Linked DNA regions of Saccharomyces cerevisiae S288C. Changing the gene in region 2 together with the main gene of any one other region gives a genetic interaction. Each region holds a gene or a part of one and is shown on either strand. Other genes may lie near its edges.

The links.
Region 1: mutations in SPT3 (region 2) and SNT1 together harm fitness more than expected from each alone (negative genetic interaction), as found in Saccharomyces cerevisiae (4 studies listed by BioGRID, with this or other methods).
Region 3: mutations in SPT3 (region 2) and VID22 together harm fitness more than expected from each alone (negative genetic interaction), as found in Saccharomyces cerevisiae (3 studies listed by BioGRID).

What each region holds. Positions count from the first base shown.
Region 1 is NC_001135.5:184,446-188,205, forward strand, and holds the start of SNT1 (Snt1p), read left to right. Parts: upstream 1-2,043; coding exon 2,044-3,760. Other genes in the region: BPH1 (Bph1p), read left to right, coding at 1-1,578. UniProt on the Saccharomyces cerevisiae protein: Part of the Set3C complex, which is required to repress early/middle sporulation genes during meiosis.
Region 2 is NC_001136.10:1,256,939-1,260,209, forward strand, and holds SPT3 (transcriptional regulator SPT3), read left to right. Parts: upstream 1-1,757; coding exon 1,758-2,771; downstream 2,772-3,271. Other genes in the region: IAT4 (Iat4p), read right to left, coding at 420-1,118; SHE9 (She9p), read left to right, coding at 2,963-3,271. UniProt on the Saccharomyces cerevisiae protein: Component of the transcription coactivator SAGA complex. SAGA acts as a general cofactor required for essentially all RNA polymerase II transcription. At the promoters, SAGA is required for transcription pre-initiation complex (PIC) recruitment.
Region 3 is NC_001144.5:869,608-873,367, reverse strand, and holds the start of VID22 (Vid22p), read left to right. Parts: upstream 1-2,000; coding exon 2,001-3,760. Other genes in the region: PSY3 (Psy3p), read left to right, coding at 1-542; STP3 (Stp3p), read right to left, coding at 640-1,671. UniProt on the Saccharomyces cerevisiae protein: Has a role in the negative regulation of gluconeogenesis. Imports fructose-1,6-bisphosphatase (FBPase) into the intermediate vacuole import and degradation (Vid) vesicles. This is an indirect role and requires cyclophilin A.

The DNA.
Region 1 (3,760 bases), on a different chromosome or scaffold from region 2:
GATTCCGCACCATTTCATTATGGCACGCATTATTCCTCAGCTATGATAGTATCTTCATATCTGATAAGGCTGAAGCCCTTTGTCGAATCCTTTTTGTTATTGCAAGGCGGAAGTTTTGGCCCTGCAGATCGTTTATTTAGTTCGCTTGAAAGGGCCTGGAGCTCTGCTTCTTCTGAAAATACAACGGATGTCAGGGAATTGACACCTGAATTTTTTTTTCTACCTGAATTTTTGATCAACGTTAATAGTTATGACTTTGGTACAGACCAAAGCGGTAAAAAAGTTGACGACGTCGTACTTCCACCCTGGGCAAATGGTGACCCAAAGGTTTTCATTCAAAAGAATAGAGAAGCTTTAGAAAGTCCTTATGTATCAGCACATTTACATGAATGGATTGATTTGATATTTGGTTACAAACAAAAGGGGGACATTGCTGTGAAATCTGTTAACGTATTCAACAGATTGAGTTACCCAGGCGCTGTAAATCTAGATAACATTGACGATGAAAATGAGCGCAGAGCTATCACAGGCATTATTCACAACTTTGGTCAAACGCCTTTACAAATATTTCAGGAACCTCATCCGGAAAAAATAGCCTGCAATGTTCAACAGCTAACAACAGAGGTATGGCGTAAGGTTCCAATGAAGCCAATATTTGAGAAGACAATCTTTAATTTGAATGAAAAGAACAGGTCCGTCGATTATGTTATACACGATCCTAGTTACTTCGATTCATTATACTGGAGGGGCTTCGCTTTCCCAAACTTGTTTTTCAGAACGGAAGAATCGTTAGTGTCATTGAGAATTGTGCATAAAAATTGGTTAAAAATTGGACTAGATATTTTTAAAAAGACGCATATGGCTCAGATTACATCGTTTGCGTACTGGAAGTTGGGCGAATTCATAACTGGCGATAAAAATGGGCTGATAAAAGTTTGGAAATATCGTAAAGATAAGCATTCGGTTTCAGGTAACCTTGAGAACAAAAAAACAATGTTTGGGCACCTATGCGAGCTAAAGGAGATGCGCTGTTATCACGACTACAATACGCTTTTAACCTTAGACATCAGCGGCTTAGTATATGTCTGGGACATGATTAATTTCGAACTAGTAAGGCAAATAACAAATGATGCGCAAAAGGTCGCAATATCTCAACATGCAGGGAGCATTATGGTATTGACTAAGAATAACGCCATTTCGATCTTCAATCTAAATGGACAAATATATACATCAAAGAAATTCGAACCAGCTAAAATTGTAAGCTCAATTGATTTTTTTGACTTCACTAAGTTAGACGCAGGTTACAGAAAGCATATCTATTGGAAAGAGATGGAAATACTACTAGTGGGCTTTGAAGATGGAACTATAGAAATTTACGAGCTCTTTTTGAATTTTCATAATGAATGGGCGATAAAGCTACTGAAGCAGCTCTGTACCGAAAAAGGGAAAGCCATAACTAGCATTAAGGGACAGGGGAAGACATACCTGTCCCAGAAAAGACGCAAGGATACAGCAGAGCCTCATGAGATAGAAGTGATTGCGGGAACATTAGATGGCAGATTAGCTATTTGGTACTAGGCATCACATCGTAACGCCTTTCTTTAAATGATTCAATTTTTGTAGTTTATATCTTTACTTTTGAAACTGATTTCTCATCCCATCTAGTATTGTAATTGCGTACGTATCCAATATCATTACCAACGCCGGGTATTTTTTTCTAGTATTTCTTCTCCATTTCGCCTATGGAAAACGGCAAAAGGGTAAAAGAAAAAAACAAACGATTAATTCTTCTTTGAATTATGTAAAAATCAAAACGCAACCGCAGATTTAATAGAGACCAGAAATTCGGATTACTATTGACTTTGTGCACCACCTTCAAATTTACTCATTGTTTAAGACAGGCAGTGGGAAAGAAGCCGTCATATTGCTCGAATCCTTAACAAGCAAAATATACAACCACTAAATTATTCCGAAAGGGCCTGCTTAATAATTTGCCTACTAACTTGTGCATAGAACAGCAAACAGAAACAAAGCGTAAGAAACATGGGGTATCCGCCACCTACACGAAGGCTTGGAGATAAGAAAAGGTACCATTATTCCAATAATCCTAACCGAAGGCATCCTTCCGCTGTTTATTCCAAGAATAGCTTTCCAAAATCAAGCAATAATGGATTTGTATCTTCTCCTACTGCCGATAATTCAACAAATCCGTCTGTAACTCCCAGTACTGCATCTGTACCTCTTCCTACAGCGGCACCTGGAAGCACGTTTGGTATCGAAGCACCCAGGCCATCTCGATATGATCCGAGCTCAGTCAGTAGGCCTTCGTCATCATCTTATTCGTCAACAAGAAAAATTGGAAGCCGTTATAACCCAGATGTGGAAAGATCCTCTTCAACCACTAGTTCAACTCCGGAAAGTATGAATACGAGCACCATAACACACACCAATACGGATATCGGAAACTCACGCTATTCTCGAAAAACCATGAGCAGATATAATCCTCAATCTACTAGTTCTACAAACGTTACCCACTTTCCCTCGGCATTATCAAACGCTCCACCGTTTTATGTTGCCAACGGGAGTTCTCGGAGACCTCGATCAATGGATGATTATAGTCCTGATGTAACGAACAAGCTCGAAACAAATAATGTTTCATCTGTTAATAATAACAGCCCTCATTCTTATTACTCTAGGAGCAACAAATGGAGATCCATTGGAACGCCTTCCAGACCACCATTTGATAATCATGTCGGCAATATGACGACCACCAGCAATACTAACTCGATCCATCAAAGGGAACCTTTTTGGAAAGCAAATAGTACTACTATTTTAAAATCAACTCATTCACAGTCATCGCCTTCCCTTCATACTAAAAAATTTCACGATGCGAATAAATTGGACAAACCAGAGGCTTCAGTTAAAGTTGAAACACCCAGTAAAGATGAGACAAAAGCCATATCGTACCATGATAACAATTTTCCACCAAGAAAATCAGTTTCTAAACCTAATGCACCTTTAGAACCCGATAATATCAAGGTTGGCGAAGAAGATGCATTGGGGAAAAAAGAAGTACATAAAAGTGGGCGTGAGATAGCAAAGGAACATCCTACTCCTGTAAAAATGAAAGAGCATGATGAACTAGAAGCTCGCGCTAAAAAAGTAAGTAAAATCAATATTGATGGAAAGCAGGACGAAATTTGGACGACGGCAAAAACAGTGGCCAGTGCAGTCGAAGTTTCCAAAGAAAGTCAAAAGGAACTAACACGCTCTGTTGAAAGGAAGGAAAGCCCAGAAATTAGAGATTATGAAAGAGCATACGATCCGAAAGCCCTGAAAACAGACGTAACAAAGTTGACAGTAGACAATGATAATAAAAGTTACGAAGAACCTCTTGAAAAAGTGGAGGGGTGTATTTTCCCATTACCAAAAGCAGAAACGAGATTATGGGAATTGAAAAACCAGAAAAGAAACAAAATAATAAGTGAACAAAAGTACTTACTGAAAAAGGCAATTAGGAATTTCTCAGAGTATCCTTTTTACGCACAGAACAAACTTATACATCAGCAGGCTACCGGACTTATCTTGACGAAAATTATATCAAAGATAAAAAAGGAAGAACATTTGAAAAAAATAAATTTAAAACATGATTATTTCGATCTCCAGAAGAAGTATGAAAAAGAATGCGAAATTTTGACTAAACTGAGTGAAAATTTAAGGAAGGAAGAAATCGAAAATAAACGTAAAGAGCACGAACTAA
Region 2 (3,271 bases):
CGTAAACATACTTCGCCTTTGAAAAACTTTAACTTGAAAATAGAGTATAAAAAAAAATTGCACAAAAAATGCGGAAGCCGGGAATCGAACCCGGGCCCCATGCTTGGGAAGCATGAATTCTAACCACTGAACCACTTTCGCTAAGAAGATCTAGCTTACATAGGTTTTGTGGTAATATAAATTCTTGAGACCGTAACCGCGCAAAGAAATACCTAAAATAGTAATTGCTAACTACATCTAAAAACAGACTGAAGCTCACTAGATATGAGACTTTTCTCACATCTTCAAAATAAAGAAAACAATAGCAGGCGAAATTTTTTTGAACCTGGTTATACAGTGCATGCTCCAAAATGTCGTCTTTAAACACTACTTTTTATTCTAAATAATTACTTGAAGGGGGGAAAGAAAAAGCTCAAAAACTACTCTTTTAAGACTTTATTACCGTCCTTATGATATATCATTAAATAGGCTGTGAACCCTTCACCATTCGGATCGCAATTGCCGTTAGAGTCGACCTCACACTCACCGTATTTGAACGTCATGTAATTTCTAAATCCAAAATATTCGTACACAGATTTAGCATGCTCGGCAATAGCTTCAAGGACAATGGCGCAATTTTCTTCGTCTGCTCTCCTTTTGTACTCTTCAAAAATAGTCCTTACAGAACCTCTGATTCCTTTCTCATTTAAGTTCTTACCAATACAGAAAAGATAGTAGTAATTGATGCCATTTGGAATGACTTGCTTTACGCGAGCATTTAAATCGTCAATAAAGTCCTTGTTGAACTTTGCATCATTACTCCTTGCCTTCGGAACGTGAGGTGGAAGACTCCACACTGCAACAGCATCGAAAGTATTAACTTCGGAGATCTCACCATAAGGTGAATCCAGGAATGGCGATATGATATCGGTGGTTATTGTCCTTGTAGGCACCTTCTCAGCTAGAGGAATATTTAAGATTTTCTTGCAGATAAAATGAAACGCTGGCGAGTTACTAAAAGCAATAGACAAAGTCTCTGCTGCTCTTCTGGCATCCGTAGTCTTGTTCAGGGTACAGACCATATGGCCCTTAGCATCGTTGTTTTCTAATGGAGTTGGCAGTTTGTTCTCGAAGGACATGATGTTCGGTTACATGTCTTAGAATTATTTTCTCGAGATTAGTGAGTGACTTGGCATAATATCAGGTACAATAACTGTTATATATACGCCGGCGGCATTTCATTTTTTTCACTTATCTCAGCCCCTGGGACTCTGATGCCGTTCACACCAACGTCTGCTGTGATTTGGAGTGAAATATCTGGATACTAATAGAAATATTACGATAAAAAAGAGTTATCTACAGTTTGCTGCATTATTTTTGCGTTATCGGTCAATCAACTTTAAGAGATCACCGTACATTTCCGGCAGCATTAGCGGGCGTCTCTTAGTTTCTTTGCAATACAGTAGGAACTCCAATTTTTTGTTCGTCTCCTCGCTACATTCAGATTCAACTGCAATCTCGAAAACAAGTTTTTTATGCCGCCAAAATAGGTATACATTGCGTTCAATGCATTCTCATTCATCTCTATCGCAAGAACGTCTTGTTCAAAGCTGCCCTTTCTTGAGGCTTCAAGCGCAGCGCACAGAAAAGAAGAAAATCCGAACCATGTAATATAGATCGGCGGAAACGAAAAGTAAAAAGTAAGGTTGAAGACACTCTGAACCCGGGGAAGAGTGCATACAAGGTACCGTGCCAAAATTCAAGAGATTAGGGCAGGAATGATGGACAAGCATAAGTATCGTGTGGAGATTCAACAGATGATGTTTGTCTCTGGTGAAATTAACGACCCACCCGTAGAAACCACATCACTGATAGAAGATATAGTGAGGGGTCAAGTGATAGAAATTCTTTTACAGTCAAACAAAACGGCGCATCTTAGGGGAAGTAGGAGCATTCTCCCTGAAGACGTCATTTTCTTGATCAGACACGACAAGGCCAAAGTCAATCGTTTGAGAACATATCTGTCATGGAAGGATTTGCGTAAAAACGCCAAGGACCAAGATGCTAGTGCCGGTGTAGCGAGTGGCACTGGAAATCCTGGGGCAGGTGGTGAAGATGATTTGAAAAAAGCAGGTGGTGGCGAGAAAGACGAAAAAGATGGTGGAAACATGATGAAGGTCAAGAAATCCCAAATTAAGCTGCCATGGGAATTGCAGTTTATGTTCAATGAACATCCTTTAGAAAATAATGACGACAATGATGATATGGATGAGGATGAACGAGAAGCTAATATAGTCACTTTGAAAAGGCTGAAAATGGCTGACGATAGAACACGAAACATGACTAAAGAGGAGTACGTGCATTGGTCCGATTGTCGACAGGCAAGTTTTACATTTAGGAAGAATAAAAGGTTCAAGGACTGGTCTGGAATTTCGCAATTAACTGAGGGGAAACCCCATGATGATGTGATTGATATACTGGGGTTTCTAACTTTTGAGATTGTCTGTTCTTTGACGGAAACAGCTCTGAAAATCAAACAAAGAGAACAGGTATTACAGACTCAAAAGGACAAATCCCAGCAATCTAGCCAAGATAATACTAACTTTGAATTTGCATCATCCACATTACATAGAAAGAAAAGATTATTTGATGGACCTGAAAATGTTATAAACCCGCTCAAACCAAGGCATATAGAGGAAGCCTGGAGAGTACTACAAACAATTGACATGAGGCATAGGGCTTTGACCAACTTTAAAGGTGGTAGACTCAGTTCTAAACCAATTATCATGTAAATTTTTGTATAATTTCATCATGGAGGTGCATGGGTTTCCTTCTGGTATGATAAATGTGAGCCAAATGAATTGAAAAATACAAATAAAGATTATGTACGTAGATACGCGTTATAAAGAGGACTATCTGATCATTGGGGTCTTTTTCGTTGTGAAATTGTAACGGGTGAACTCAGTGATTAAAAAATTGCGTGATGTTGAGATACTATGGGGCGACAAGAAACTTACCCTTAGTATTCAGCATTAACAAATTAATGTTGAGGGCGTCATCTTTCACCAGGCCATTTCATTATAGTTCATATTCTCTACAGAACGGTGATACTCCTGATAAAGGCAGCACTAATAAAAATGAAATACGGACACCTAATAACGCTGTTTGGAAAGAAAATATAGAACTTCAATGGCAGCACTTGAAAAAGAAATTAAATGAATTGTATTCTAGGTTTAACTTCCACCGAGATCAATTATCCTTTCAAGTTAACAAGGCCAAAAAATCAATTCAA
Region 3 (3,760 bases), on a different chromosome or scaffold from region 2:
GTACTACGGGGGACGAAAAGATCCTAATCATAGATATAGTATCAATATGGTCCCAACAAAAGCAAAGACAGCATGGCGCGATCTACATGAATTCGCTATCTTGCATAAACATCACGGGATTAATCGTATTTCTAGAGTTACTGTATGACTCTCCCATGGATGCGTTAAGGAGGTGCCAGGTTGATAATTTCAACTTTCAATTACGAGGAATAGTAATCGACAATTTGTCTTTCTTGAATTTTGAAAGCGACAAAAACTATGATGTAATAAATTTATCGAAATTTGAAAAACTGTTTAAGATTCTAAGGAAACTAAGAGAATTTTTGGGCTGCTGGATCATCACCAAAAGTTTTCCCACAGACTTCTATAATGGTATCGAAAACACCTTAGTTGATAAGTGGTCAATCAAGAGGAAAAGCGGCGTTACACTGTACCCCACAAAACTACCTGATTCATACATGAAGGGAATGGATCTGATAATCTACAGAGAAGTTGTTGACGGCAGGCCACAGTACAGAAGGATAGCCGCACTTGAAGAATGATAAGAGAAGGAAAAAAAACATTAAAAACTCAGATACATAAATTAAATATCTACTAGTACTAATAAAAACAGGGGAAAAGTCGTTATGCTGCCGGGAATCAATGGTATTTATAGCCGCATTGTTTACCTACGTGTTCGTTGAGCCAAACGTCAACGTTCTCGAACTTCAGGCCGCAATGCTTACATCTACCAGGAACAACATTTCTATCCTTTTTCTTCGTGCCTGGCGGGTATTCAAAATGCAAAGCCTTTAAATGGTTTTTGAAGGTGTCGCAACGTGAGAACACCCCCGTCTGGTGACAATTGGAAGTCTCAAAATTTAAAGGTTTCAGTTTATACGGGTACATATCCATGTCCAATTGTATTAAGGTGGAGTTGAATGGGCACTTGAATGTGCCCTTGATTTGATGCAACGATTTCAATTGTGCATAATCTGTGACAGAATTCATCGGTGTCATTTTTTCATGGGTATCATCATCATTGGGAGAAACGGATCCTCCCTTACCATCATTATGGTTCGAAAGTACTCCCGATTGGGACAGTATCTCATCCTTCCAATGTCTTTTCTTATGCCTCAATAAGTCATTGTTCCTGGCGAACCCGCGGTGGCAGATGGGACACTTGTGAGGCCGATCCTCTGGCGTCAAGTGCGTTGCCTTGTGCGTGGTCAGATTGGCATAAAAATTACGACAAATTGGACATTGCTTCTTTTTCCTTGGCTTATTGATTTTGGTGCTATGGGGGGTACTCACCCCGGCACCGCCAACAGATGAAGGACCAGCCACTTTTAAAATTGGTGAAATGGAACGTGAAGGTGATGCAGATGAAGAAGTTTCCGATGCAGAAGCGGAACCTTCCGTAGGCTGCTGCACGGAGGGAAGGAAGCTCGAGCTGGAGTTCGACCGGGACACATCATTGGAGTGCGGAAGCAACTGATAGCTCAGCATCGACGATGATGCGCCCGCACTGCCACTGCCGTTACTAATGTTCATATTAGGCAGTGTCGGATGTGTCGAGGCGGACGAAGCCTCGCCATTATATTGTCTCTCGGCTGCCTTGATAAGGTTGTCAAATGACGAGATGGGAGGCAACGTGATGTGGTTCATAGCACTATTGTTTGCATTACTCATCGCTCGCTGCACATGCCACACAAAAAACACCCACCCTGATTTCTCGAAACCAACTTTTTGTCACCAACATGCAGCGCTTACCAACAGTCTGTCTTCTTTATACCGTTGCTTTGTTCCAGATGGTACTGCCATGCTTCCAACGGCTACAAAAAAAACACCGCAACGGCGAAAAAATGGCGCAATTATTCACCGTGTAGTCATTTACCACGGCCGGGAAAGCGCGAATGGGATCAGCAAACAATAAACAACACATAACATGAACCATCAAGAGATGGGAAAGAGAGAGTTTGCTGGCAGCATCCACAGGATAAACAAGCACGAGAGCACATATGAGAGCGATGGACACACAGGTACAGAGTGCTGAAAGAGGATTGGTGTTGCCTCCCATGAATTCAACTGTATCGTCGGCGACGGCGGCTACGACGGCCACAAATACGGATACAGATACAGATGGAGATAGAGATGAGGAAAGGGAGTCGTTAGCAGAGGATGGTAGCGAATGGGTGCCCGCATATATGCTTACCAGAGACAGGTCACGCTACTTGGGCCATTTTCTGGGTGTAGACAAGATGCTGGAGGCAGTAAAATGCAAGTACTGCGGTGTGATAATAAGACGGCAAGGAAACAGCATAAGCATGGCGGAAGCCTCGCAAACTCATTTGTGGAGCACGCATAAGATAGACCCGAATGCCAATTACTATAGCGGATGGACGGGCGTAGAAGCAGGTTCTACTTTTATGGTCAGACCACCTTTGAAGAACCATCAAGGCGGTAGCGCCACAACGAACAGCATTGCTAACCTGCTGGAAATAGACGAGGACTTTTTGAAGAGAACTAGGGAAAAAGAAATGGCCTTGCCTCTTGTGCAGTCGCTTGCGATCATAATTGCATCAGAAAACTTGCCTCTGTCGTTCGTAGACAACACTGCCGTACGCCTTTTGATCAATCAGAACGCCAACTCACTAAGCTTCATTGACCATGACTTAATTCTGAATGCTATCAGGTCCATCGCATATAATCTCGATAGAATCATTCAAAGGACAGCTTTGCGAAACAATTCCGATTTGTCGTTGATTATCGACAAAAACTACTTACTAATGGACCCAACCGATAGATCTAATCAGTTATCAAACAGGTTGAAGAACCAATTATTTGAAATGCAAAAAATCAATTTTTTCTCTCTAAGCCACTCCGTTTGGAATAACACGATATCTATATTGAGTATTCAGTACTATGATGATTTTCATTCCCAAGTAAAGACTTTACCCCTTATCATCCAAAACTTACATGAATATAACAATGACCCCAAACTATCTATTCCAGCTCAACTGCTCAAAATCTCACAAGAATTACCTGGTTTACAAAATACTGTGATTTCTATCACTCTACCAAGATCTCAAATAGTAGATCTACTAAACGTAATGGATAGCCAACCCTTTTTCCCGAATACGTATACGAATGCTAAAAACTATTATCACAATTGCATTATTTCCATAATAAATTCTGCGATATTGCCATTGTTCGGTACGCCTAAATCCGCCGATATTACGCATCCGAGACAATCATCATTCTCCAAAGAACCTTTGACTTTATTGGACTCTCTAATTGATTTGTCAAATATAGATATTTCGAATTCCATTTTTTCCAGAATCAATTCTTTTTTGGATGATTTACAATCTAATTCGTGGCAGTTAGATAAATTCCGTTCATTGTGTGAAAAATTTGGCTTCGAATTCGTTTGTTCGAAATTCGATTTATCCCGTTACTCTACCGCCACCGTTTCACTGCAAACTTTTTTGAACCTTCGTCCCATAATAGAAGAATATCAATCTTCTATCCAAATTGAAAAATTCAACGAAATCGACTTTCAAATAATAGACTATTTATTAATTACTTTGAATTCCATCAATAGAATACTAAAGTTCTTTACTTCTTCCAAAAGCTTAAACTTTACCTATGTTTTGTTCGCCATAATGTCTATTGAAAAGCATCTGTTGTCCACCTTGGGCAGCCTACAATTTCAACGGTTAATTGCACCATTTGAAACATTTTTGTCTAAAATTCAAGAATTCAAAACCATTTTATTTTC